Linked DNA regions of Rhinolophus ferrumequinum. The protein of the gene in region 3 interacts with the protein of the main gene of each other region in a biochemical or structural test. Links are inferred from orthologs where the notes say so. Each region holds a gene or a part of one and is shown on either strand. Other genes may lie near its edges. The genes, in order: MPDZ, LYN, KIT and SH2B3.

The links.
Region 1: the proteins of KIT (region 3) and MPDZ form a complex in vitro, tested with the Homo sapiens proteins (2 studies listed by BioGRID and IntAct, with this or other methods). The link is inferred for Rhinolophus ferrumequinum from reciprocal best matches to the Homo sapiens genes KIT and MPDZ.
Region 2: the proteins of KIT (region 3) and LYN form a complex in vitro, tested with the Homo sapiens proteins (2 studies listed by BioGRID and IntAct, with this or other methods). The link is inferred for Rhinolophus ferrumequinum from reciprocal best matches to the Homo sapiens genes KIT and LYN.
Region 4: the proteins of KIT (region 3) and SH2B3 form a complex in vitro, tested with the Homo sapiens proteins (2 studies listed by BioGRID and IntAct, with this or other methods). The link is inferred for Rhinolophus ferrumequinum from reciprocal best matches to the Homo sapiens genes KIT and SH2B3.

What each region holds. Positions count from the first base shown.
Region 1 is NC_046295.1:25,013,272-25,020,529, forward strand, and holds the start of MPDZ (multiple PDZ domain protein), read left to right. Parts: upstream 1-4,249; 5' UTR 4,250-4,541; intron 4,542-7,258. UniProt on the Homo sapiens protein: Member of the NMDAR signaling complex that may play a role in control of AMPAR potentiation and synaptic plasticity in excitatory synapses. Promotes clustering of HT2RC at the cell surface.
Region 2 is NC_046297.1:22,212,480-22,219,756, forward strand, and holds the start of LYN (tyrosine-protein kinase Lyn), read right to left. Parts: upstream 3,008-7,277; 5' UTR 2,712-3,007; coding exon 2,237-2,711; intron 1-2,236. UniProt on the Homo sapiens protein: Non-receptor tyrosine-protein kinase that transmits signals from cell surface receptors and plays an important role in the regulation of innate and adaptive immune responses, hematopoiesis, responses to growth factors and cytokines, integrin signaling, but also responses to DNA damage and genotoxic agents.
Region 3 is NC_046288.1:16,906,719-16,913,722, forward strand, and holds the start of KIT (mast/stem cell growth factor receptor Kit), read left to right. Parts: upstream 1-3,985; 5' UTR 3,986-4,070; coding exon 4,071-4,137; intron 4,138-4,572; exon of another isoform or gene 4,573-4,827; intron 4,828-7,004. UniProt on the Homo sapiens protein: Tyrosine-protein kinase that acts as a cell-surface receptor for the cytokine KITLG/SCF and plays an essential role in the regulation of cell survival and proliferation, hematopoiesis, stem cell maintenance, gametogenesis, mast cell development, migration and function, and in melanogenesis.
Region 4 is NC_046308.1:6,770,729-6,777,900, reverse strand, and holds the start of SH2B3 (SH2B adapter protein 3), read right to left. Parts: upstream 3,018-7,172; 5' UTR 2,632-3,017; intron 1-2,631. UniProt on the Homo sapiens protein: Links T-cell receptor activation signal to phospholipase C-gamma-1, GRB2 and phosphatidylinositol 3-kinase.

The DNA.
Region 1 (7,258 bases), on a different chromosome or scaffold from region 3:
GTTTGCATTGTTTTAGTTGCAAGTACAGAAAACCCAATTCAAACTAGTTTAAGAACGAAAGGAGATTTATTGGCTCATATAAACGGAAATACATGGGATGGGGTGGGCTTCAGGTAATGTGTGATCCAGTGACATAATGGTAGTCTCAAAAACTCAGTTTTTTTCCTCTATTCCTTTTGCCATCACAAAGTAGGAGCATTAGCAAAAAGATACTGTGCAAGTTAGAGTTCTTTTCATTATCATTAGTGTTTTTTTCTTGGTTTTTGCTTGGATAACTGACATGTACCCTCATAGTATGCGTGACCCAGAAGAAAAATTTTGTAGGAGAAAGATTCCAAAATGTCATTCTAGCTTGCCTTAACTTGAATAGAGATTCCTAAAGTGTTTGGATGTGTTCCACCCAAAAAATAACCTGGTCCCAATGCTTTCTCCCAGGATTTCCTCACTGCACCAGAATGCTGTGTATACAAAAGCAAATGAATTCAAGGTCAGATGGTCATGACCTCCCAGTGACTTTTCTTTCTCCCTTAGAGAGATGAGACCCAATTAGATACACTGTAGCTTTCAGTGCCTCTATTCCTCTATAAACAGTTTTTTATATGAATAGACAGATAACCCTACATATTTTCAAAAGATATATAATTTTTACATTTTCCTCATGCCTAAGATTCTTTCTTAGCCATTCCCTCTTCCTACTAGTTTTCTCCTACGTGTAGACACGCTCGTATATATGTTCATTATCCTAACATTCTCCTTTCTTCTGCTTTTTAAAAAATCTTCTGTTTTCAACGGATAAAAAAAGTTAAAGATTGTTTAAAATGGTCTATTTTTGTCTAACATTGAAAGAAATGAAAAACTGCAAAAAAGTATCTAAACTCTTTTATTTGAGAAACTAGAGGCCAATTGAAGCCTTTGTTTCAGTCAGCCAGTAGACAAAACATAAAAATCTCTCTGCAAACTATAATAATCAGAACTGCATATTTGCTATATATTAGATAATTTGTAGTCAGAGGGAAATCTAAACATGCCATCTAGTTTGCCCTTACATGAAGCATTAGTAATAAAAGGCACAGCTGGTTAAAGGTACAGAAATAGTCTACTGTCTCACAATTAGAATTCCCCCAAAGTCAGTCTTTGGGAAAGGATTTGGTTCACACAAAATGCTGATCCTGGGGCTCTGGTAAAACCAGTGAGGGACTGCCTGTCATCCACACCTAGGTGAACTGTTGTTAGGAGAGCAGCACAAAGACTGTGTGCTTGGGAGGCAGCTAAAATGGATCAAAATGGAATTTCCTGCATCCATCTTTCAAGCAAATATTAAAGGTTTTGAGTAGACAACTTGGGCCTTCCACCAGTTTCAGAGTTGTAGAGGAGCAACACATGTAAACTAATATTATGTATTTAATTTATGTTTATACTTGTTAAGTTATAGTAAAAATAATTTAAATCAATTTTGGAAGTCCCCATTTATCCTTACAAAAAGGGTCTGAACATTACTCAACTTTGAGAAAAACAAGTTGCTGTGGAGAATGTCTCACTGAGGATAGAGCTGGAATGCAGACAGCATTCCTAATTCCTTCATCTTCAGATTCCGGAGGCTGTGATTGACACGAAATAGAAAGAACTATTAATTGATATTAAATGAAGTGACTTTCAACAGAGAATGACAGTTCTATTTTATCTGCTTTAGACTTTGGCTTTCTCAGTAACATTTTACTTCAACTTTTAAAATGTTTTTCAATAGTGCTGTGCATCACATTGCCTTGTTCCTTCTCGAAAATCTCGGGCCTTCTGGGTTAGAACAAGTAGAAGTGGCTAGCTAGAGCACTAACTATATGGGTTAACTTCAAAGGGGAAGCTCTTGGGTAGAATATGCTCAAGCGCTGGATAATTTTATGGAAGAACTAATGTAAACTAATGTCCTATGATATACCACTGCTTAAAGTGCACGTGTAGGATTCCTTACGCTAAATGAGATCTGGAGAATATTCTCATTTATATACTTGCAATAAACCAGAGAGTTCAATTCCTTAAACTTGCCTCTAATTCAGTATTGTGAACTATTTCCCTATGTTTCAATGGAACAAATGTCATTTTACCTTTTAAGACCCTGATAACATCTTCAGTAGCTAGTTATGGAATTGTTCTCCGCCTGTACTTTTCCTACCAGCTAGCATTCCATGCCCTTATTTCCTTTGCATTTGAGAATGACCAGATTGGAAAATGACAAATGGAAGTGCTTTGCTATTCAAGGAAGTAGGAATGCTTTGGAATTTCTAAGCAGTAAGATAATGCTCTCCAAAAGGGATGACTTGAGATGACTCTATGGCAAGAACACAAGGTCATGTGGAAAAATCGTTCACTCTTGCGCACATATATATATCTGATGTCCTTTAAATACTAATTGGGTGTAAAAGTCTTTCTAGGCTCTGAGGATGAAATGGTGACTTGGTCATCGCTTTTGTGGACTTTATGATCAAAGGCGGAAGAGAAACTGCATAAGTAATTACAAAACCAAATATACAATTAGAAAGTAGGATGAATGCTATGAAGCAAAAGTATAGGGCACAATGAGAATGGATCACAGTGGGTTTATCTTAACTTGTGGGAATCATGGAGTAATGTCCATTCACTGGTAGTGCCGTTCACTGAGACACTGAACAGTGAAAGATGACCAGATCTGAGCAGAAATATCATGGTTCCATTTTGGATAATCTAGGTTTGAGACAGGCAAACAGGGAAGTCAAATAAATACTCAGATGTATGGAGGAGTGTGGATCGAAGATAAAAATTTGGAAATCCTTGACCAATAGATGATAAGCTAGACGTGAAGATGAACTCAGGGATGAATTAAAAAGAAAAGAGCGCCTGTTACTGGGTCTATCACAGCCTTTAAAGATTTGGGAGAGGAGGCTGGTTGGGAAAGAGATTGAAGAGTGTGTGGACTGATGACAGGCAGATCTACCTCAAAGCTAACGAAGCTTAAGATTCTGGGTCCTTCTCTTGCCTGGGAGAAGCCCTAGCAAAATGTTTACAGAGTCACATATTTGTGCAAAACTTTCAAAAGATATATATATATATATATATATATATATATATATATATATATATACATACATATATATAATTTTTTTTTCTTAAAGCAGAGCCCCACATTGTATAAGCTTCAGGTCCCACACATCTTCCCCTAGCTAACAAGCAGGAGCAAAAGTAAGAGTGTGATTGCAGCGGGGGCAGGTTGAGGGGGGTGGACTTCAGAAGAAAATATTCAACTAACCATTACTAATGCATCTGAGAGGACAAGAAATATGTGAGGAACATTTCCATTGGATTTAGGTAGTGGGAGTTCATAGGTGTCCCCAGGAAGTTATCTTTTCAGTGTGGTGAATGAGGTAGGAAGTCAGATGCAGTTGGTTGATTTTAAGAACTTGACCTGTGAAGGAGAGGGGAGAAAGAGTGGTAGCAGAAAAGAGCTGGACTCTGGTGGAAGGTTTTTCTTCTTCTCTCTCTTCTCTCTCCTCTCTCTCCCTCTCTCTCTCCTCTCTCTCTCTCTCTCTCTCTCTCTGTCTCTTATTCTCTCTCTCCCAAAACTTGATTTTAAGTGCTTTGCTATTCAGAGGAGTAATGCTTTGGAATTTCTAAGCAATAACAGAATCCTCCCCAAATGGCCTCGAGATAACGCTATGGCAAGAACACAGAACTTATGTAGACAAAATGTCCTTAAGGAGGAGACTGAGAATGTTGATTGATAGAAATGTATTAAAGATACAAGGGAACAGATCAGCTGGGATGAGTTTTACCTTCATCCTAACTGCACTTTCATTTTCAAAGGACCCAGAGGAGATGGATATCCATAGACTCGGAGGAAATTTAGGTGTTTTTACTTTCCCAGTGGGCAAATCTACACTGACCATATGTTTGTGAAAGCAAAAGGGGCTTTGGGCTGATGGCACTCTCCACCCAGGGCAGTGCGTTCATTTTACTCAATTCCCAATCATTTGCAGGAAATGATCTATTTTCCAGCTTTCTGAAAACAACCTCTTTTATTTGACACTCACATTTCACGGGGCGCCCTGCATTATTTCTGGCAACCTCACCGAGCTCGTTCCCTACATCCCAGGCCTAGCGCCCTAGGAGCTAGTTTAAAACCCAGGACCGCTGGTCAGGCGGCGCCCCTGATTGGCCGAGGCGCGCCCGCCCCGCCGGCTGCAGGCGTCACGCAGCCCCGGCCGCCGCGGCCCGCCGCCTCCTCGGTCGCCGCTTCCTCCGCAGCCCGGGTCGGCGCAAGTGCGGCGCGCGCTGGGGGAGGGGGCGCGGCGGAGCGCGAGGCTGGCGTCGGGCCGCCGGCGGCCGTGCGGGATTAAGTTTCGCGGTCCCGCGTGAGTGTGCGCGTTTGTCCCGAAGCTCCTCGCCGGGCCGTTACTTCAGAAGAGAAGAGAGAGAGCGTGGGCGAGGAGAAGCACCCCGAGTCCCCGGAGACCCCAGCTCCCCAGCCCTCCGCCCCTTTTCCGTCTCTGCCCGGGGCGGCCGCCGCGAGCCGGGTAAGCGGCGCCGGGAGGCCGGGGCGCGTCCCCGCGCCTGTGCGCGCGCCGGCCGGGGGTGCGCGGGTGCCCGGGGCTTGGCGGGCGGGGTGCGCTCGCCCCACCCCACGAGGCCCGGGAAGCCGCTGCTTCTCTGGCTCTTTAAAAGGATGGGGTCTGGAAGTTTCTTTCCTATGCTACTCGCATCGCCCCTGAGCGAAAATCCCAGATCTTTCGGCCCTTTCCCCCCCAAATCCTCGCTCTTGCCTACTTGAAATGGTTTAAAAGTTTTTTATTTCTTCTTTTGCTTCGTTTGGAGGGGCACAATGCCAAGGGGGGACCCCGGGCCTGGCGCGCGGGCCGGTTGCTGTCCACCGCTGTGGCCGCCCCGCATGCGGGACACCCGGTCCCCCGTTACGCGGTGCGGGGCTGTGCGGGGTGGGTAAGGGGTGGGTAGAAATGCCCCCCACACTGGTGTCTCCCGCCTCGGCGGCGGGGAACCCAGAGCGCGCCGCTAATTGGTACGCCATCCCCCACCCCCACCGTGGCGCCCGTACCTTTTTATCTGCTGCCGGGGTTGGTACGAGCATTTTGCTCTCGCCTCCCCCTTCACCTCTCCTGTCCCCGTGCCCCCGCCCCGCGACGTTGAGGCGCTTTTGTCTGCGATTTCGCAGCCCGGGGATGCCGGATGTTCCTGGGGAAGCACTGTTCGGGAGACGCTTTGTGTGTGGGGGAGTGTGTGTGTCAGTGATGGTGATGGTGTACATTTTTGCCTGCGTTCTTTGCAGAGGCACAAAGGCCGGCTATTCTTTCCTGCAGATCACTTGGAAATTGAAGCTGGCACTGCGGAGTGGAGGAGGGGCCAGGCCCGGGCGGGAGGTGGCCGCCGCCGGGGGGCCGAGTTGGGGTTGGCGGGTTGTCTCCATCCATCTCCCAGGGTGGGGCTGCGGAGGCTACTCGGCTGGAGAAGAAGCTGGGCACGAGCACCATGTGCCTTGAGTGGGGAGGTGCGGGTGGCGACTAGGGTTTCATCGGTATCATCAGATAAGAGGACCGTGACTTCACCAAGCTAGGAGGAAACCTTTCCATGTTCTTTTGATGTCGAGAGGAAAGAATCTGAAAAGTGGTCTATCATCCAACTTTGGTGGACAGCTGTGGTGTAACCATCCCTTTTGTGTTTCCGCAGGCATTCCTCATTTAGGCTACAATTTACAGAATAAATAACACCTGATACCAGAAACTAAGGTGGTGATAGTTTGGGAATTTTTACGTGTTGAGTTGGGATGTGGGTGACTGCAATGAACTTTTGGTAAGGGTCAAAACATCTAAATTTGTGTATGTGCTTTTAGCGCCTGGTGGAATTTAGGTTAACGATTGCATTTTGAAAACAACAAAACTTGAAAATCCTTGGCTTGAATTTCGAATGCAAAGCAAAGCTCTAGATGCCTACGCCTGTGCCCATGCCTGAGAGTGGGGAGGTAGAGGGCAGTGGGGATAACCTTGTGTGGGATGCCCAGGTACGCTGCTTGCTAATGTGCTGGTTAACAAATGGGCGGGTCTAGACTGGGCTCTATCCCTGTAGAGTTATCCCTGTTCACATTAGGGTCCTTTAAAGCGGAGGTCTGTAAATTTAAGGACTATGGGTCAAATCTGCCTGCTGCAGTCAGTTGGCTGTCCCCCGTAAGGTTTAGGAGCTAGGAATGGTTTGTACATTTTTAAATGGTTGAAAAAAAAGCAAATCAAAAGAATATTTCATATAATATTTCAAAATTATACGAAAATCAAATCTCAGTGTCCGTAGTAAAGTTTTACAGCCACATGGATTCCTGCTGTTTGTGTCTCATTCTTAGCCTGTATGGCTTTCACAGCTACAGTGGCAGAGTTGAATAATGGCATAGTTTAGAGAGATGTAGACCCTTCAAAGTATAAAATATTTACTGTGTTACCCTGTATAGAGAAAGTTGCCAACCATGGCCAGGCTTTTAAAGTACTGCTTAAATATTCCCTTTGGTCGTGGGTGCATTCTTAACTAATTTCATTGCCTTTCAAGTCCTGTTTCAGTGCCCCCTGAAGTGGCAGACTTTTCTCCAATAGGCAGAATAAGTTAGTGTGTCAGATTTTCTTATTTCCAAGTTTCACTCTCAAAAATTTTTCTTAACCATTTGGTATCTTTTTCTGTTAGACTCTAGAATAAAGTAGGGTTTGTGATTAGCAGAAATTATGCACTTAGTTATTCTAAGTTTAATGTAGTCATATTTCAAGGTATTCTTCAGTGAATTCTAGTAACTTCTAGCTGTTCTGTTACCTGAGTAGATTTGAAAATTACAGTTTTGTTTATTTAGGTAGAGAGAGGCGGGGGTTAGGACACGTCATAGGTTTCTTTGCACAGGCAAGTTATCATTTAGACAAAGGTAATTTTGCGGGGGGGTCCCCTGGACTCTTCCCCACTCCTCTTTCCTACCTCATTTGCTGAAATAAACAAAAAACTGATGAAGTTTATCTCAACCTATTACTAATAGATCTATCATATTTGTACCACACCTCTTAAATGTGTTCCTTTTCTTTCTTTGGTTGGCTCCTTTCAGTATTTCTTATCCCCTCTGGTGTCTGTTTTTTTTTTTTTTTTTTTTTTCCCCTCCCTTTATCTCCTTTACCTGACTGTTCTGGCCTGGGAAGAGAGAGGTGTCAGTCACAATTTTTTGTGTGCGCCAAATTCCTATCATGCAGACATTGCCCTG
Region 2 (7,277 bases), on a different chromosome or scaffold from region 3:
ACTCGCATCTCAGATGTTTTGGTGATTTATTTTTGAATACAAATATAGTGGAACTAAAAGTCTTTGAAAATCATTGATGTGCAAAACTGCTGGACTACTTTTCTACTAAAAGAATACAAATTCTCCACATATCTTTGCTACACCAATGACTCTAAGATAAAGTGGGTCTTTTGGGTTGCCAAACTACTTTTGCAGGCTATATCTTATACTCCAAATCAAGCCCCTTCTCCAGGTAATACAGCAGAGTAACCAGTCCTGAGTGGAGTTTCCCACTTAGAGCTGGCTCTGAGATAACTTAACAGTCCAAAAAGTCCCTCAAATCCCCGCTTTAGAAACCAGGACAGAGGACCGGTAGGCTTCAAATGCCTTAGGAACCAGGCCTGTTCCTTCTGCCTTGCATAGGGCCATACTTCATTCGTTCTTCCAAGTAATCTCAACTATGTGAGAGGCTCCGGGGCTAGCATTTCAGACAAGACAGACAAAGCTGTAATCATGGAGCTTTCATTGTAGTATACACACGCTAGCAATTCATAATATAACTCTGATTACTTCTATGAAGGAAACGTTGGCTAAATAAATGGCCCAAGTAACTTATCCCAAATCATAGCTCTGGTAAATGGTAGAACAGACCCTACCTCAGGTTTCCTGGCTTCTGTGTTCTCTTCCCTTACTTTGGGGCCTTCTAACCTTTCCTCAGGAACAGGGTTGTCCCACTGTGCATTTAAAAAGGCCCTATCACCAAAAGCCTCTTGTGATCAAGTTAAAGTTCTTCAAGTCTTAAGACATTTACTTCTTTACCTCCAAGTGAAAACCAGGGATTACCTGAATCCCACCATTTGCCAGCAGAGCTCACTTACTGGAAGGACTTTGAGTACTTAAGAACTGCCTGTATTCTGTCGGTGCCTACTCCCGGTGGCACTACTTTAGGTGTTGCCTGTCTTCCTGAACCCTACAGCCAGCTGAGGGCAGCCAATAAATCACAAGTAAGTCAGACATCCTTATTGGCTAGTCTTAGGGTGAGCCAGACTCCTGGGCCCTGCTTTGGGACAGCAAAACTCTGGTATATTTATTAAGCAGATTTATTAATAAGGACAGGTGGCTAAATCAGACAGATAGTCTTAGGTTTAAAATCATCAAATTGCAAAGAACCAGGGAGCCTTGTTTTTTTTTTTTTTATGGAAAGAATTATTTGCAATAAATAACAGCGCCATTCATTAAATAACTACAACAAATAGCACAGGAGGTAGACAGGTTCTCCCAAAGATGAGGAAACTCAAAAAGGGTATTTCAACCACAAGCCCAGGTTCACACTCAGGTGGGAAATTGTAAGGCCTCCATTCCACTCGGGTTTCTGAGACGGCAAAGTAGTTGGGTGGATTTGGGGTAAAACACAAACACACGTTGGAGACATGACCACAGAACCACGCTGGCTGTACAGCATCTAGAAGCCATCACAGGAGGCCAAGATAACGCAGGACAGTGGGAAGTGACGCTTACACCCTTCCCCCAAGGCAAAAGAAAGGCAACCCCTGAATTCTTAAAATAACTCTCGCTTCCTCCAGGCGGACCGAGGCACGGGACTGCTGCTCTGCAGGCCGAGAGGCGCCTGGCTCAGCGGGAGGGTGCGCACCAGCCTCCACCGCACCCCCTCGACGTCACGCTGCTGCCGGGGCTCTGGAGGAGGGCAACTGCCCGCGGGTCTGGAAGAGGGCCGCGACCGAGCCCCACCCCTCGCCTCTGGGGACCTGGGCCCAACGGGAAGCCCAGATTGTGCAACCCGAGGAATCCCCACCAGGGTCCCGGCCAGAATCCCTGCCGCGCCCACTCTGCGTGGAGAGGGGCTTCCCTGTGACGCTCTGGGAGTGGCCGAGTGGGGACAGCATGCGGCCCTCGGGTCTGCGCCAGAGGGCCTCGAGGTGTGTCCGCCCGCGCGCCCGCTCTTCCACCACACCCCTGCGCGGCTCCCTGGAGGAGACACCTGCTGAGCTGCTCGCCCCCGCGTCCTCGCCCCTCCTGGCCCGGTCACCCACAGGCTGAAGGCATCTGGGTGCCCTCACCGCCCGGCCGAGCGCCAGGACTGGCAGGAAGGGGCGTGCGTCCCACGTTCCCGCGGTCCGCGCCGACCCCCGGCCCCTGGCCCAGGGCCTGCCTCACGCCCGAGACTCCAGCCAGTGGCACAGAGGCGGACCCCGCCCGGTCCGCCCTGGAGCCCGCGCTCTTGGTGCTTGAGACTCACCAGCTCGCGGTGAAAGTAGCGGGGCGAAGGGGGCGGCGGCGGCGGCGCTCCACGGTGACTTGAGTTCAGAGCCCGGGGCGCGACGGGGCGGCCCAGCAGGGCTCGCGTAGAGTGGGGCTGCGGGCTGGGAACCGAGGACGAGCGGCGGGGGTCTGCAGGCTAGGGGCCCGGGGTGACGCGGCCGCCCCGCCTGACACGAGCTGGAGGCTGCAGCGCGTCGGTCCCGGAGGCGCCACGGCCGAGAACGAGCGGCGGGCGGCCGGGCGCGGCGGGAGAGGAACTGGCTGTCGCTGGGCTCGGCCGAGAGGTCCCAGCTACTTCCTGGTGCTCGGATTTGCATACTGCGCCCAGGGGGCGGGGAAGTGACCGTTTGGACCCTGCCCAAGGTTTGGATCTTTCGTGTGGCCGTCGCGCGGAGCTTTGAAGGCAAAGAAACCTGGCGTCCCAGTGAGCGGAGCTGCCTCGGGCCCAACATTCTGTTGTAGAGACGACAGAAGGATCTTCCAGTGAGACCCTCTGGAGTCTTGGCACAGACGAAACATCTTGCTTCTTCTTTCCTTCCCTTCCAACCTAGTTCTCAAGGTATTAGGAAGTGGGGTGTCCCTGACAGGAGAGGTGGCGTGCTCTGATCCCCCAACTTTTGGAGTTCTTTAAAGGTAGGATGAGATGTGTTGAGTTGGTGCTTCATTGAGTTCTTAATGAGTACAGAGTAAGCTCCTTAAGGGTGTACACGGTGGTGTTCAGAGTATTGATGGGAGGCAGGGGGCTCCTGAGTTAAATGGCTTGGCAACTACTCAGTTCCTCAAAACTTAGATTTCCTCCTGGGAAAATGGATGCCTACCTCGCAGGGTTACCGGGAGGATGGGCTCACGCTGTGTCTAGCACACATTAATGGTTGCTAACTTTTTATTCCTACTATCTCCACATCTCCACATGTAACACTGTGTTTGGCACATGACAGGTGCCAAACACAGTGTTTGTTGAAAGAATGACTGCGTCTTCAAGTGTGTATTCCAAGTCAGTAAATGACACTTATAAATCCAAGGCATAATATTAGTCTCAGTCACCGTGGATGCGCACTTGTTCTAAGCAAGATTCTGTTCACTGGGATCCCAGCATTGCACTACACTGTGGAATTTACAAGGAAATAAACAGAACCCTGTAGAAGATGTGGTCTTTGTGTTAATAATAGCAAACACTTACATGGGGACTCTTGGGTGCCGGATACAGCGCTAAGCACTTCAGACCAATTACCTTTTATTAACAATGTTCTTAAGAGGCTGGCCCCACCTGAGGAGGCTACAGCCACAGTCCAGCAGTGAGATCAGCCACCTTGAAACAAAATCCCATAAATCAGTCATTTGTTACTGGTAAGAGAATAGAAGGTTTGCAAACTACTGCCTTAAATGAAAAAAAAAATAAAAAGCAAGGTAGTTTATACCTGTGATGTTCACTGGTATGGGTCTGTAGTGGTTAGTTTCCTGCTGAAGAGGAGGGAGTAGGTTGCCTGTTGGAAGGTGTTGATTGTGTGAGTGAAATCTGTCACAGATTCTATGGAGTAATTCACTGCCTAAGTCCCATTTCCTGGACTTTTCATCAGGTTGACCTCTCAAGTACATTGGCCCTAAATTAAATATTTACTATTACCAGTGAGTCCTTAAGATCCTGCTAAAGGTATGTTGGCAATAAAGAATGGGAAACAAAATATTTGGTGTTGGTTAATCCATCTGGAATAACCTGTGGTTTTTGGTAAAATGTCTCCTGGAGTAAGGAACAAAGCATCATCAGGCAGAGCTGGGCTTTCACTCATCACCATTTCTAAGTCCTCACACAAAAGCATCCTAGCTAAGTTCGTCACTTAATTTATCTAGAGCGCTTACAGTGGGAAACAGTCATTTTAAACCAGACTTAGGTACTTTTTAGCATTGTCTACCTTGGTTTCACATGTTAACTTTCTCTCAACTACTGGTAAATAGTAAATCCCTCTTTGGAAGGCATTGCTTCTTACATTTACCCTTTTCCCATTGTATCCCTCAAAAGTCTTCTTAGGTGCTTTAAAATACTTCGTTAGCATTGATGGATTGGTTCTTGATTGATGGACTGAGTTGTCTCAACAGTCTTCTCTATTGAGAATTGAGCACAGAATGGAATGATCAGAGGCAGGTTGCAAATCAACAAAGACCCCTTGACAGGGGAAGCAGGCTTTGCAGAAGGTGAGGGATGTAAGCAAGGAGGACAGAAGGAAGGAGGAGTGAAAATGGCTTCAACTACGTACAATCCATTCTTAGTTTTTTCAGATTCAGATTCCGCATTTGCAAATTTACCTACTCACTAAAATGTATCTGTAACCCCAAAACCAGTACTCACAGCACTTCATAGTCATTTGTGGACGTGAGCACAGCAGTAAAAATTTGAATCTCTCTGCGTTCACACTCCCAGCCAACGTCAAACAAGGCGATGCCCTGCCTTCTGTTTTAGCTCTAATACTATAAACATGCATCTTTTGTGTGGTCTGTGTAGTGCCTTGGTTTTTCATTTCTGTGCTTTTTGTTTTTGATTTCAATGTTTCACTACCCTCAAGTGTAGTGCTGAAGTGCTGTCTAGTGTCCTAAGAGCAAGAAGGCTTTGATGTGTCTTGTGGAGGAAATACGTGTGTTAGAGAAGCTTCGTTCAGGTGTGAGTTATGGTGCTGTTGGCTGTGAGTTCAATGTTAGTGAGTCAACAATATATATTAAATAAGGTGTCTTTCAGGAGATTCACACATAAAACAAGGTCATCTATACATCAGTTGATGTAAATATGGTGACCAGAGAGACTCACAGCAACCCAACCCTGTATTCGTCCCAGGAACAATGTTTCGATGTTAGCTAATTCATTGTTTGTGGTAACTTTATAGATCATAACTACGGCAAATAATGAGAATTGACTGTGATAAGAACATACCATCATTCACTGGAAGAGACATGAAATCTCTGACCTCAAGGAAATTCTCCTTCAACACAGGCTTTCATCACCACACCCCTGACCATGGCACTTGCAGCCGAGACTGGTCACTCCTGGTGCACACTTTCACACCAGCCTACCCCCCCTGCCGTCTGATCTGCAGCCCATCCTACTGCTTAGCTATGGACTGTCCCTGGTGCCCCTTCCACTCTTCTGGGAGCTGCCTTTCCGGGTTTCAGACTCCTCAGTCCAACACAGGGACTCTTTTGGATTGTCTGCACAAGCCTCCTGGTTGGCCTTGCAGGAAGGGGAAGAGTGGAGGATAAGACTCTCCATCTGACTCTTACAAACATGGCTGCAGACCTGGTTCTTGAGGCCCAAGTAGCACATAATACAGAGCAGTGGCACATGAGACTCACCTGCCCAGGTCCGACCCAGATAATTAAATCAAAGTTGGTGGGGTGGGAGAAAATGGGACCCAATAATCAAGCTCCCTGGATGGTTCCAATAAGCAGCCAGGATTGGGAGCCACTATGAAAGCATCCCAACCAAACATCCTGGGAGAATATGGGACATGTTTGCCAAACAAATGGGTTTCTACCCATCACCAGCATTCCAATAAAATACACTAGAAAGACTCTCATCTGACACACTTGGGCCCGATGAATCAAAACCATTGTTTAAAGTGGGGGAAATCATAAAAATGATATAAATGTGCTTTAGACATTTTACTTGTATTTTAACCTAAAGTATATTCAATTACTGCCAATCTGTTGTGTAATGCCAGGGTGTTTCCTCTGAGTATGAGACCCCTGCTTGGTGTTTCTGTGTCACCTTTCTTACCTAAAAGACACCCATGAAAACTCATCTCTGATTTCTAATTATACCTTTGTGGAAGCAGAAGAAAAGCCGGCAAAGCCGTGTCACTCACTCAGTCTCTTACCTTCTCAGCTACCTTACCCACACCTAATGCAGCAGAATTATTTGCTTTTACCATTATTTACCTGTGACTGCTTTCAAATATTCAACTTAGTTTGCATAGCAATAACATCTTCACTCATATTTTTTAAGTTTCTATTTAATTAAATTGCCTATTTGTAGTAGCAGGCACAAATTGACATGAAAACCACTGACTTTTGGAAAAGTATGTAAGTGTTGCCAAGAGGAGAGGGTTCATTTTGCTGGAGGGATAGAGCGGTGTTTCACAGAGGGAAGCAAGAGTGTTGGTTCATCCAGAGTTCCTTGGGAAGAGGCTGGTTTCTGAAGCTTTCTGTCAGAACTACCTCCCAGAAACTGGACAGGTCGTGTTATGTTAAAGCCTCTAGTCAATCCTCACACCAACCAGGTTTTATTTTCTACATTTGATAGACATGAAAATGGTCTCCAAAGGGGTAGGGAACTTTCTCAAATTCACCTTGCTGAAGTGGCTCCCGCTGGATTTGAACCCCTTTCTGTCTGACTGACTGACATCAAAGCTGGAGCTTGTCCCCTTAGTTTGCAACACCTTCTACAAAGTTGGGGCTTCTCAGCCCGGTACATCACAGAAACAGCACACATTTAGCGCCTGAAAGCAAACAGGGCTAAATGTAGGCCAGGGCCTTCTCAATACTTTCACGTTATAAAGGAACATCCATGCTACCTGAACGAGAAATGTTAAAAACTGAGCCAAATTATAATGGTAATAGCTCCCATAACATAATTAGCATTGGAATCTTATCAAATTTATAGCAAAGTTAATTTGTCCTTCAATGATACACAAAATGGTGCTACATGGTAATTAGACCACAATGTAAAACTATGCATAAAAATATTGTCTCATGTAGTCAGATTGGGGGTTCTGGGGCCTACTGGGGAGTGTCTAGCAGGTAAGAGGGAGAATTGATTCTGACTTCATTTCTGTTTCCTTTCTGAGGAAGGAGGCCCTAGTGCCACATCCTCCTCCTTCCCTACCTTCTGATCTTCAGTGAGGATGCCCAGACCCTCAAATCAAGCTGGTCTCAGGACCTTAGTATCTGCCCTGCCCCCAGTTCTAATTCTAGAGGTGCCAAATCTGTTTTCTAGCTGCTCTGAAGGTATCTAGAACCTCATATATTTAGTT
Region 3 (7,004 bases):
CAAAACTCATGAGTGCAGCATCTGTATTTTGTTGAACTTCGCATTGCCAGCAATTATTGTAGCACCTCTGGCACATAGGTAATGTTCAATAAATACTGAATGAAAGCTTGAACTGAGAGCATGCTTCATCTTCTTTCAGCCTCACAAACTGTGAGGTGGTTATTGTTAGTATTGAGTCTAGCAATAAGGATCATATATTCATTTATCCCACTTTATGGACAAGTGACAACACCTAGCCAGTTCTAATGGTTATTGGAAAAACAGAAACTATTAAGTAGTAAACTTGAAAAGGATTATACCCTTGGTGTAGTAATTTTACCTCTAGGAATCTATCCTAAGAAAATAATCAGAGGCAAGAGATTTTTATTCACCAAGATATTCATCACCAAGTAATTTGTGTAGGGAAAAAAACCGAAAACAATAGAGAAATGATTAAACATCCAGAATTATGGTACATATATACAACTGAACATTATACTGCCATTATATGTTATTTTTCCAGAAAATTTTTAATGACTGCTTACTCGTATGTTATGATTAATGAAAAAGCTGGATAGAAAACTAGCAAATATTATAAAATCTGAAATTATATAAAGGGAAAAAAAACCTTAGAATACGTAGGAAAAAAATTTGAAAGAAACACACCAAAATGAACTTTTCAGCTAATTATATATTGGGTGATTTTGTTTTGGTTCATTCTTATCATTTTGTGTATTTTCTAAAGTTTTTACCATAAGCATCTTTACTTTTATAATCAGAAATATGAAAAATTTTCAAGTTAGAGGTTTGGGCTGTGTGAGACTAGAGTGAATATCTTTTGTTGTATTTGTCCAGCATCATTCCTCCTTCTTACAGTGACAGTACCTAAATTTTTGGTGAGGACACACCCCTCCTCATTAAGAATGGCCTTGTGATGTGGGTGAAGTGGACCCCAACCCTGGCTCCAGGGGTGCGCATGTGACCCAGCAGAGGCCAATCCTCATATGCCATCTGGCTTCAGTAACTGGTTCCAGATGGTCATGTGACTTAAAATAAGTCAGTACTTTTATAGATGTTCACGAGGGCAGAACAGCTCAATGAGCTGTAAGCCTAGAGCTGCCTGAGTGTTCACAAATACAGGGAAGCAACACAGGAAAGTACTGCTGACGGATGGAGATAGAGAAAAATGCACGTATACACACACACACACACACACACCACCACCACCACCACCACCACCATCACCACCACCACCACCACCACCACCACCACCACCATCACCACCACCACCACCATCACCACCACCACTTTTGAGTCCTTATGACTTTCAGTTTTTGGATCTGGGAAAGTCTGCCTGGACTTTTCAGTTGTAAAAGCCAATAAATTTTAGGTTTCTTTGTTTGCTTAAGTCAATTTAAGCTGGGTTTCTACAACTTGCAGTCAAAAATACAATTATAAATACAATAAAAAATGTAAAGTATAATTCATGAAAGGGTCCAGGGCTATCACAAAATAGAGTACAGAACCGGTCCCATACATCCTGAGATATAAAACATTTCCATCATTGTAAGTATTTCTGTTGGACATGTTCTAAGATATTTCATTCTGAAAACAGTTCATTCCTAGTCTCTTCTAGATGCCTCCTTATAGTACATTAGCTGGCAGGGGGTATGAACCATAAAGGCGCAGAGACTGGAGATCTCTGCTCTGCCCAGTATTAAACCTTTAATTGCTGGATCTGATGAGAAAAAAAAAAAAAAAGAAAGGGGTTGGATTTAGGCAGCATTTAGATATTTAGGGGAGTGGCAGCTTTTTTCCCCAATGAGTGCAGAAGGATTTCAACATTCTACCAATCAATATGGCCAACGTGGTGTGTACTGGCTGCACATGAGCTCTGGTAGAAGATATTATAGTTTCTTATTTGGGTATGTTTTATTCCCCCAGGACTATGAATCCCTCTAGACAGGGACTTTGTCTTAATTGATTTTTTGTAGGTCTTGTGCCTACCTAGGTGCTCAATAGATGTTTGTTGAATGGTGAATATGAATGACGGTCCAGCATTGTAAAATTCCCTATTCTGGTATTTTTCCTAATAGAATTTTCCTGCTTAGAATTAAATTGCAATATGGTCTCTTTTCACCCACTCTTCTGAAGACTTGTTATCCTTTCCAATCTCAGTTGATTGAAGGAGAAAATTGTAAATTTTCTCTAAGGCATATTGTTGGTATTTTAACCCATAGTGATTTTTTCTCACTACAAAATGGATTTTAGAAATAAATCAAGATCCCAGAAACTCATGATTGCTTTGAGTGGTAGCTTTTACCTCTGTCATCCTAAGAAAAAGATACGGTCCAATGGCCCAAAACACAAACAGAGAACTTTGAATTTTAGCTGTACAACTTGAACCATTTGCTAGGATACTGGGGTGTGGTTCTCCCACTTGACTGTAAAGATTGTGGTAGGGCCCACATCTGTCTATTAACAATAGTGCCTCTTTGTTCCCAGTAGACACCTAAATGCTTGTTGAATGAATAAACAAATTTAGACAAGCAATCATACACATTGATCGAGTAGTGACAATTTTTAAGTTGTTTGTTTAGCTTTGAAAATCATTTTTCTTAAACCAGCTTAGGTCCTATATCAACATCAGACAGGAGAGATTTCAATATTAAATAAAGTGTGTGTGTGTGGGGGGGGTAGTTACAAATTTTGGATGCTATTGTAGAGAAGAGTCTAAGTATATCTAAATTATTCCATCACTTTCTGATGGGCAACCCCCCTCTTCCCATTTAGTTTCCATCCTGAAGCTCTCTGAAGGGGTGTTTTACTGTGTTATTAGAATGCATAGGGAAAGCTCATCATACCTCGAATTATTCTTAAAATGACTGGGTCTCCTCTGTTAGCTGTTAGCTATTTCTAAAAGTGATCGAACCACTTTTAGAAATAAAATAATAAACGTATCTGCTCTACCTACCTCACAAAACTGTTATTGTGAGCATGAAATAATATTCAGTGTAAGAAGGAACTATAAAACTCTATACAGATAGTACTGTTACCTTGGGTAAAGCACTTCCTAGGCAGTGGCACCTGGCTTAAGAGAATCATTTTACTATTATTTTGCTCCCTTAGAGCTGCCTTAGCTGTAAGGCAGCTAAGAGGAACCCTCGGATCCCCACCCCTATAACTGTCGTCTGATAGAGAGGCAGAGAAACCATACAGGGAAAGGGGGGAAAAAAAAAAGGCGCCCAAAGGGTTTTAGCACGACTGTGGATCCCGGAGCAAACTTCGCAAGGCGCCCCTCCCCACTCCAAAGCCCCAGTCTCTAGAAGTCTCAGCAGGAGCTTGTTGGGCTGAGGCCACTCTGACGAATAGAAACCAACTGTGCTGTTACAGGTTAGGGAGCAGGTGGAGAAATCGAGCATAAAGAATTACCTACGCCCTGGCTGAGCCTTTTACCGCTGTGCCAGGCGCCGCGCCTGGTCTCCCTCGACTAACAGGAATGGAAAAGAATATCGGGCTCTAATTCCTAACCCCCTTTCCACTGCGCCCCAATTCCTGTCCCGGCACCACGTCCACCACCTGCGGCGTCCAGCCTCTTCCCTCGCGGGCGTGCTCGAGGAGAGAGCGGCGGACCTTTATTATCTGGGGAGCACCTGCCAGGTGGCGGGCCCGTGTCCTAATGTGCGCGTGGTGCCCAGCTTCACAAAGCGCGCGGGCAGCACCACCCTCGTCCGGGAACGGCTTCTGGTAGACCGATCACATCACAGGGGACGAGAGGTGGAGAGGGGCTCCGGTTTTGAAAGCGGGCAGCAAAGGCTGGCACGCCCTCCTTCTCCCCGTGGGTTTAACCCCCACGGGATTACCAGGTCGAAAGAGCAAGGGCCAAACGCCGCAGGGAGGGAGCGAGGGAGGGAGGGGAGGCGAGGAGGGGCGCCGAGAAGGGGCGTGGCCGGCGCTCAGAGGGAGGGCGCTGGGAGGAGGGGCTGCTGCTCCGCGCTCGCGGCTCTGGGGGCTCGGCTTTGCCGCGCTCGGTGCACTTGGGCGAGAGCTGGAACCTGGAACGGAGCTCCGATCCCAGAGCAGCCACCGCGATGAGAGGCGCTCGCGGCGCCTGGGATTTTCTCTGCGTCCTGCTTCTCCTGCTCGGCCTCCAGACAGGTGGGAGAGCGCGGCGGACACCGGGTTCGCGCCCCCTGCCGCTGCCTGTGCCCCTGAGGGCTGCAGCTCTCTGGGGTGTGTCCGGAGAGGTGGCCGCCGGCCCACAGTGCCCCTGCGTTTCAGCCTCCTGGCAGATCGAGGCGTCCCGGGGACTCTCCTGCGCCCAGCCTCGCTCACCTGCGGGAGGATCCCCCAGTCGCTGGTGCTAGGGGCGCTGAGCTGGGGTCTCCCAGGCAAGAGGGCAACGAGTGGGGTTAGGCTTGAGCTAGGTGCAGGCTGAGGGCGCGGGCTGCTTGCAAGTTTGGGGTTGCTTTTGTGCGAAGAGTGCGCAGGGGCAGAGGCGGGCGAGTCCCGGGTTTGCACCCCGAGCGTTATCTCCGCGGTGCGTGGCGCGGCCGCTTCTTCCTTTTGTTAAAAGTTGCGCTTGTGTGACCGGCGCACTGGAGGACTGGCCCGCAGGTTCTCAGTCACGCCGAGGGCAAAGTTGGAGAGCTTTTTTTTTAGCTCTGCGGCTGCTGCTTTCCAACCTGGCGCTCTTTGTGCCCCAGAGCTGGGGACCGACCCACTGCCGCCTCTGCTCGTGGCGCCACCCGTGGACACAAGTCGAAGGCCGCGGCGTCCCCCAGCCCACGGGTTATGCTTTTGCACCGGGTGTCCGCCGAGTGCGATTCTGATGTGGCGGCTGCAGAGGTAACTTGGGCGCCAGGGCGTGTGGAAAGCAGCCGCTAGGTTGCAGACTTTTTGCTTTTGTAAATCTCGTGCTGGAGGCTTATCCTTTTCTGCCGCGGTGCTGTTTCTTTCCTGCCACGCGCCTCGGTGCTGCCGGAGGCTGCGTTTGCAGCCTGTTCTTGGGAGAGACAGGGACGGTGCGTTGGGACACTGAGGTCCCTGACCCCGGCCGTCTGCAGCGCTCAGCCGGAGAGCCCGGCCAGGCTGGCGGGGCTCTGCAAGCCCCTCGAATCGGGGTCTGCGACCTGTAATCGCAGGTCCCTGTTTTCTTTGGGAATTCTGAGATTCACAACACCCCCTTCCACGTGATAGCTATACTTAAGGGCCGCCTGAGATGGAGGTGGGGATGGGGTAGGTGGGAGATGGAGTGGAACTTTCTGCAAATCCTCCTGGGATCTTAAAGCTGTTGTGAAAATCCGGTTATATCTGCGCGGGAACTTAGGTGTTAATGTTGAGGAGGAGGATTTCTGGAAGCCCTCAGTCAGATTCCTTTCCCTTCTTCCCTTTTTTCTGGGTGTTGCTGGTGCGTGAACCATTGCAGGTGGCCCAACCAACCCCTGTACTGCTCTCTCCCAGGTCACTGAAAAAAACCCAAAAAACCTTTAAGGCTACCCTGATGATGGCTAGAAAGTGAGTTTGAACTGGAATTCAGGGGTTCCAAAGGCAGCAAGCATCGCAGTGAACTATAGTGGGACTCTGGACTACCGTTCAGTTTTCCCATGAAGTCTCAAGATGCAGCCTCCGTCTTCCAGGTCTTGTAAGGCATTGTGAGGGCTTTCCTGTGGGGGAAGAGAGGCCTTGCATCTGGACCCCTTTGTGGTAGGAAGGATCACCAGTGAGTGGATTCCGTGATGGATTTGATCGCCTAAGCTTCAAATGATAGGTTTGGTCCTTAGGTCTTTGTGCTGTGGCAGTTTTAATTTCAGTTAAGGTATGTGAACCGGACGCAGTAGGGCACTAGAAAGATAAACCACACAGAATGGTTCTCTTTGTAAAAATTAAATGAATCAGTTGCTTCCTTCTTCCTCATAATTAGCCTGCTCCATCCAATAGATTTTTTGGCAAAGGGAATTTTACCGTCTGGCTTCTGGGGGAGGGAGGCGCAGTATGGTGTAGTGAGAAAGCCTCTGTGCTGCCCTCTGGTTTTTCTTTTCTCAATGATTTATTGGCTGTGTGCCCTTGGGCAGGTCGCTTAAATTCTGGGGGGCCCAGTATCCTCAAGAGGACAGTGAGGCATCTTCATTGTGAAGGATCCTTTGGGTCCAAAATTCTCCTCTTCCAGTGTTCTGAGTGTAGGCTGTACACTTCTTCTGAACTCTTTACCTGATTCCTTTCTACCTCCTTGAAATTCCTCTGCCTCTCCTAGTCACAGGGTCCAACCACTTGGTCATATCCTATTGATCTACCCCCGGCTAAAGCAGGGATGTGTGGCTTGTGCTTTCCTGTCCTCAGTCCACATGTGCTCACCTACAGTTTCACTCTGAGGGCTAGGAGGTACCATCTTGGCAGCAACTCCCCCTCCAGTATTTACAACGCCTGTGCTCAGCTGGATGAACCTGCAGGGAGCAGTGAATCATAACCTTCCCCTTGTTCCTGCAGGTGTGAGGCTAGCGTCATTCCCAGCAGCTGGACACATTCTGGATTATTATCCTGCTGGAAATAATATGATGGTCTTATAAAGGGATCCCAGATAAGTCATTTATCCCCATTCTGGCCTTTCCCACTCATCCACACGTTTGTTCTTACGACTTTATAAATCATGTATGCTGTGCCCTTGCAATATGTTTTTCTAGGCGCCTGAAATTTCACATTATGTGTGTGTTGTACATAGTTGTTGCTCTTTCATTGGAAACTGTGTGCATGGCCCTGTGCTGGGACCATTACCTGACATTTCCCGTTCTCTCAACAAGCATCAGAGGCAGTACTGTCACCATCCCTATCGGTTTTTTTTTTCCCCCTATCGTTTTTATAGCTGGAAGAACTGGCTGAGAACAAGTCAGTTCCCAGAATAATCAGCAGTGAAGCCTGAGGTTGGTCCCATGTGCCCAACTGTATATCTATTGACACGACTTACCAGAATCAGTTGTAAAGTGAGATTCATTTGAAACTATTTAATGAATACCTATTATATGCCAGGC
Region 4 (7,172 bases), on a different chromosome or scaffold from region 3:
ACACAGGCTCATATACCCTGGCGAGGCCGGGATTTGGGGCCCTCCATGGGCAGGGTAGACCCAGGGAAGTCAGGTAACTTGCCCAGAGGCCTTACAGCCAGAAGCTGGCAGGGACCATATGTGGCTTCAAAGCCCATGATGTTACCAGGGAGAAGTGGGAACTTAACAGGAAAGGCCGCTCATTTAATAATAATAATAATAATTAAAGTGCCAGGCCCAGCACTAAGTGCTTTATGTGCCCTGTCTCTGACACTCAATGTGTGTGTAGGGGGGTGAGGCCGAGGACTAGCAGCGGGAGGTCCCTCTAAGTGCCTTCAGCCCCACCCCCTTGGAAAGGTTCCATCCAGGATGTAGAGGGTGACCTGGGCTGGCACAAGAGGCCCCAGACATCCAAGGGGCCCCATGGGCTGAACTGCTGCAGGGCTACCCAGTGCCTGCTGGGCCCAGGCTACCACCAGAAGTTGATGTGTATTAGAAAGTTCTCTCTATCAGAGAAGGGTCATGCCCAGGGTTCAGAAGAATGGCGGTGGGGGTGAGGGGACCAGGGAGGAAAACAAGCAGAACTAACATCCACGACAGGGTAACAACAATCTCATTACTCCTCCTCCTCCTCCTGATCTCGCTGCTCAAACACTTGGTGAATTCACTCATTTATGGTTCCAACGACCCTAAGAAGTGGTACTATTATCACACATTTGACATATGAGGAAACTGAGACTGGGTGGATAAGCAAGGTCTCATAGCCAGAAAACACCATGAGCTCATCCTGACTGGCTCTTCAGAATTCTTCTCCCCAAGACTCAGGAAGCCTCAGAGCCCAACATGCAGGAGGTGCTCAAGGTGCCACTGGTGAACATTCCACAGCCAGTAACACTAACGATGGCAATGACAGAATCACCACCTCCATGTAAATAACCCTTTCTCTGCCAGGCAGCAGGTGCTTCTCACACTCTGGCTCATTAAGTCTCTACCACAAATCTGTTATTACCCCATTTAACATAATGGGAAACTGAGGTTTATGAGTGGCACTTGCCCCCACCCTTGGCTAGAAATAGACCCCAACAGCTGATACTGCAGTCCAGCCCCTTCCCAGCCTGCAGCCTCTGTGGCCCACAGGGACTCACACAAGTTCTAGGAATGTTCACCCTTTGGCTCAGAAGGATTTTCCCTCCCAGGGGGGGGTTGTGGGAAAAGGCTCAGAAAAAGTGTATTAAAAACCCTTCCAACTTCCCCGATGGGCCCTGGCCTCTAATCCACTGACCCCAGCCCGCCCAGGCGGCCTCTGCCTGCTCTCCCTGCATTAGGCCTGTGTCTCTGGCCCCCACAGGCTCCCGGGAGCCGCCAGAGCTGTTTCTGCTCTGGCAGCCAGGTCAGTGATGGGAAATCCAGACACAACTCTCGCCCACAATCCTGGAGACCCACACGCCCACTGCTGGCAGGGGCCCCAAGACTGGACTAATGGGGAGCCAGAATGAGCTAGCGGCCCCACCTGAGCCTGGCAGCTGGCTGGTGTCAGGGGATGCTCACCTCCCAGATGAGCAAGGGGGTTACAGGTCAGATCTCAGCCCCTCCTGCCCCAAAGCTGGACCTTGGCCCTGCAGACATCGCCTTGACAGGTCCTCTGCTCTGAAGCTCTCGGCCTGAAGCCCCCAGCCAGAACCCCAATTTCACTTCCTTCCACTCAGTCTGTCCTGGGCATGCCCCACCCTGGAGGCCCCCAGCTGCAAGCAATGACCTCCTCACCTACATCATCGTGGCCGCGGGAATGGGGAAGAGAAACAGGAGAATGAGGAAACTAATGAAATAAAGAAGTGGGACAGGCCGGCAGGCCCCCCCCCCCCCCAGTTCCTCAAATGCAGTCCCCATCATTCCAAAAGCCCCGGCGGCCAAAGAGGGGAGGGGTGGAGGGGATTTCTTCGCCAGGCATTGAAGACCTCTGAAATACCCTCCCAGGTCTGCTAACCTATAAATCCAATGCACTCCACTCCACTCCTCTTTTTTGGTGGGAGGATACCCTTGTAGCCCCAGCTCCTACTTGTGAGGGTACCAGCCCAAAGAGACTTGGGCTCTGGGACCGCCTAACCCTTGCGAACCAAATTCTATGGCATGGGGGCACCTGACCCTGCCCACCCCTACAATGCAGGGAGTGGGGAGAGGGACTTCCCAAATCCAGCGCTGTCCTCTTGGCCACATGGCCTGACCTGGGAGAGGGGGTAGGGAGCGGCGGCTGGAGGGGCTCTTCGTTCTCACAACCTCAGTTTGATTACTTTCACTTTCAAGGTACCAAGTGGTGACCCCTGACCCTTCCTTACCGGGCACAAGTTGAGGGGAAATGCTGCCCTCCAGGTGCTTTAAGAGGTGGACTGGGGGTGTTAGCCATACCCTCTCTCAGCGCCTCCCCCACTGCCTCAACTCCCCCCGTTACATCTCCAACACGTGTGTGGGTGGGGGCGTCGCAGGATCTGGAGAAGGGTCACACCAGAACACGCCACCCGAGTTACCTGCAGGGCAACATTTTAGGCTGTTGTGGGAGTGCGCAGACACTGGGCAGAACTAGACATGGGCCTCCTCTTCCCCCATTAAAGCCCTCTAAGCCCCACAGGAGGGAAGCGCCGGGAAAGGCGGGCTTACCTGAGAGAGAGGGGGTCCGGGCCGGGCCGGCCCATGGCGTCGCGCGCCTCCGGGCCCCCGAAATCCCGAGGGGGCGGGCGGGCCCCCGCCCCGGGCGCGTTCTCTCCTGCGCGCCGGCTGCTGGCTCGCGGCTCGCTCGAGCGGGGCTCAGGCAGGAAACCCGGGCTCGGAAAATGGCCAGCGTCTCATCATTTCCGCCGCCAGCGCTTGACAGTTGCGGGAGGATGCGCCCCCGGGCCGCCACCGGGGAAACTTTGCTGCTGCGGCCGCCGTCCCCACCGCGGGCCGCGATAGTCCGGGCAGGCGGCCGGGCGGAGGCGGTGGCCCGAGCCCATTCCGCCCCGCGCCGTTATGTAAAGAGGAACCGGCTATGCTAGCGGAGCCTGGCGGGGGAGGACGGCCATGGGGGCGGGGCCACACGAGGCCACACCCCTATTTTACCACGAGCCACTCAGTCGGAGGGGGCGGGGCTTTCATGGCCCCGCCCAACAACCCTGCTCCTCCGCGGCTGACCAGGTCCTAGGGTCTCAAACGCGAACCCGACGAGAGGCGGGGCTTTGTTAAACCACGCCCACATTTTGCCCACCCGGTTTCTCTTCATGCAGCCTAAAGAAGGGAATGAATGGCCGGAGGGGCTGGACAACTTTGGCCCCACCCACCTAGCGCTCGCAGACCACCAAGTACCTCAGCGCTGCCGGGGCGGAGCCAGATGTTGGAAAGGCGGAGCCTGAGGGCGGGGCCGGGCCGAGCCGCCTGGCCTCTAGGGGGCGCGCCCCTGCCGACTCCCTCCTGCTGGGCCTTATCTGTGCGCGTCCGGCGGGTCCGTGCAATAGCGCCAGCGGCTTTCATCATCACCCAGGGAAGGATCCCAACACCGCCCAGCCCCGAGTATCCACAACACTGTTGAGTCGACCCGCCACGATCCCAGCGTCCCCATTCAGATTCCGTTCCCACCGTCAGCTCAGCTCTTTGCCTCAGCGCGTGCCCATACAAGCCGGCTTCTATCCTATCTACAGATCACCCGTCACCCTACTCCAAGAGTGCATCTTTCTCCGGGAAGCTCTCCCGGACCGCTGACTCCCATGCCCCGTGGGCCTGCCTCTCTCCTCTCCCCCGGAATACTTTCATTTTCTCTATGACCTTACGTGGGGTGAGGTTGACAGTGGGGTTCCCCCTAGTCTGAGATGGAGCATACGCTCAGCCAGCCCTTCCCCCAACACATGGGAGGGAGGAGAGAGGAAAAATGTCTCCTCTTCCTTTCCTCCCACACATGAAACAAGTCGCTCACGCCCCCAGCTTGCAGGGGCCACATCACCCCTTCCTTGACAGCATACTCCTCCATTCCGCTGCTTCTGCCCCTTACTAGCCTTGGGTAAGTGACTAGTAAGTCATTTGGACTTCTCCGCATCTCAGTTCCCTCATCTCTGAAATGGAAATGATAAAAGTACTCACTCCACTGGGTTCCTGCCAGGATTAAATGAGTTAATGCATTAAAGCAGTTAGCATGGGACTTGCCTGAAGAGAACACTGCTACATGAGTGTTTATGAAACAATCCAGCCTAGTCCTGCCCTTGGAGCTACAGAAAGGGGTTCCCCGGAAGGTGGGGATTTCCAGACTCCACCCAGATGGGGGAAGAGGTGCTAGTCTGCTGTAGGATCCTTGGAGACCCATAACCTTGAAGGAACTGGACATAACTCTGTGCTTTCCAAAAATCTGTATTAAATACCTACTGTGTGCCAGGCACTGTTCTAGGTGCTGGGGACACAGCAGTAAACAAGAAAAATATCCCTGTCCTCATGGAGCTGACATTCTGGTGGGGGGACAGAGGACATAAATAAACGAATGGGATAATGTATTACAAAGATGACAAAACAGTTACAGGACGGAGAAGAGGCTGTCTTAGACTGGAGGCTCAGGGAGGACCTCTCTGAAGAGCTAACATTGGAGCTGAAACCACCCCTCTGCCCCACCCCACAGCAAGAAGGATCCAGGCATGATAAGGTTTGAAGGAAGGGCATTCCAGGCCAAAGGAACAGCAGTGCAAAGGTCCTGAGGTGGGAATAAGCTTGGTGTGATCGAGGAAAATCAAGAAAGCAGTGGTGGGGTGGCCAGTTAGGTCAGTTGGTTAGAACGTGGTGCTGGTAGCACCAAGGTTGCCAGTTCGATCCCTGCATGGGCCACTGTGAGCTGCGCCCTCCTTAAAAAAAAAAAAAAAAAAAAAAAAAGGCAGTGGTGATACCTAGACTGATAGACAGGAAGAGATGAAGTTGGAAAAGCCGTCTCATCAAATGGAGACTGGAAGGTCCTGGTGACAAGCTTGGGAATTCTCTGAGAGCAACAGGGAGCGATGGAGGGTTTTGAGCCGAAGGACCTGTTGAACTCTGGACTCTTGAATTCTAGCTGGAAAGTCTGCAGTTGGCAACCCATTAGGAGGTGCCCCAGTGATGTTCACCCCCCATCTGACGATGTGGGACAATGGGTGGGGGAAGTATCAGGAGCTTAAACTGATCACCCTATATTATTATAGTTTTATTACACTTGGGGAGACCGAGGGCCAGAGAGAGCAGTTACTTGCCTGCAGTCAAAAAGCTGCCCAGTGTTGCCAACAGAGCAGCCTGGTACACAGCAGTTGTCAAATGGTTGCTGAAATCTGCCAGCCACAGGCACTTTCCCTCTCACTGCCCAGACGGCAGTTCTGCTGACTTAAACGGAGAGTTGTGGTTCTTCCCCTTTTTAATCACTGCGAAAGCCTCCTCTCTCGCCAGATTTCTCTGAGGCCCAAAGTGGTTTTCTTTCTCACTTAATTTCTTCTCACCAGCATCCCCTTCAGGGCCCAGTTTCTGGTTTCGACGCTCTCCGCGATCGAGACTTCTCACTTTTTGTTTTTGTTTTTCCTTAGAAAGGCAAAGGGTTTACAAGGAATCCCCTTCCATCGCCTTGCCTTGCCTTGCCCTAGATTTGACAGCATCATGGCTCAGAGCACCAATTTCATCTTCTCTGAGGAGAGGCTGGCTCCTCCCACTCCGCAGGTCACTGGGGCCCCAAAAGAGAAAAAGGTTTGAATTCCCCGGAAACAAGCAAGGCGGTCTGAGCTGAGGAGGACCCACCACCTTTCCTTCCAATGGGTGAAAGCACCTGCTGTCTGCCAAGTTCCAGGGGCCAGACACTCTCAGGGTTAATAACAAAATAGTTGACAACAATATCAAGAAATACTTATTAATACCATTAATAGTAATGTTAACAATTGACAATAATAACCATAACAAAATGAAAGTTAAGTGGTACAAGATTAATCATAAATGGGTTGATAAAATTATAATAATGGAACGATGGTTAACAGGTCTAATGAATAATAATAGCTACAATTAACTATGACAGGATTAATAGCAAATATAAAACAGCAATAGGATATTAGTAGTCATAATAAATAACACCGTTCACAGGTCTAGGAATAATAGTAATAATAGAAGCTAAGGCTTACAGGATTAATAATAATATAGCAATAGGTTAGTAATAATATTAATAAATGTAATATTATAATAATATAATCATAGTTAACAATAACAGCACTTAATAGTTACAGGATTAATAATAAATATAAAAATAATAATAGGCTAGGACAGGATTAACAGTAACAGATATAATAACAGTATAATTATAACAGTTAACAGAGCTAGGCTTAATAATAATATGATTAATAGTTTTTGAGACTTGCTTGATGCCAAGCATTCCACTAAAGCAGTGCTGACAAATGAGACTTTCTGTGACAATGGAAATGTTCTCTCATGTCCAATATGGCCACCACTAGCCATACGGGACTTCTGAGCTCTGGAAATGTGGCTAGTGTCACTGAGTAACGGACTTCATAACTTTATTTAATGTTAATCAACTAAAATTTAAATAGCCACATGTAGCCAGTGGTTACTGTACTGGACAGCACAGTTCTGGACATTTTACATATGTTAACTCATTTAATTCTCATGACAGCCCTGGGGTAGGAACCGTTACTGTTATTGCTGTCCCCTTTTTATGATGAGGAAACTGAGGCACTGAAAAGTTAAGTCATTAGCCCTGGTCCGAGTCTCTCCCCACATCAAGGTGGGGAGACAACAGGATGCCGTTGTCTGAGGGGGCTCTTAATTAAGAATGAAGGTTCTGGGGTCACCCAGACAGATTTAGAATTTTGTTCAGCCTTCTCTCGGCTATGTGGTCAATGAACTATTTGGGCCTCGGTTTCCTCATCTGTAAAATGGGGACAATCACAGGGCTGACCTCACTGTGTTCCAGGGGAGAATTTGATGAGAAACCTTACATTAAGGGCTTGGGAGTTTGGGTGGCTCTTCTACATAACACATGCTCAATAAAGAATGTCGGCGTAATCTATAATCGGTGTGAGAGTAGTACATCCCGAAAGGGCTGTGAAGAGTGGTGGCCACAGAGACTTGCCCCTGTGGATGATACACCCTCACACCCTCACACCCAGTGTCCACATGAGGACACTGAGGCTTGAGAGTAAAGACTGTAGCCCAAGGTCACCCAG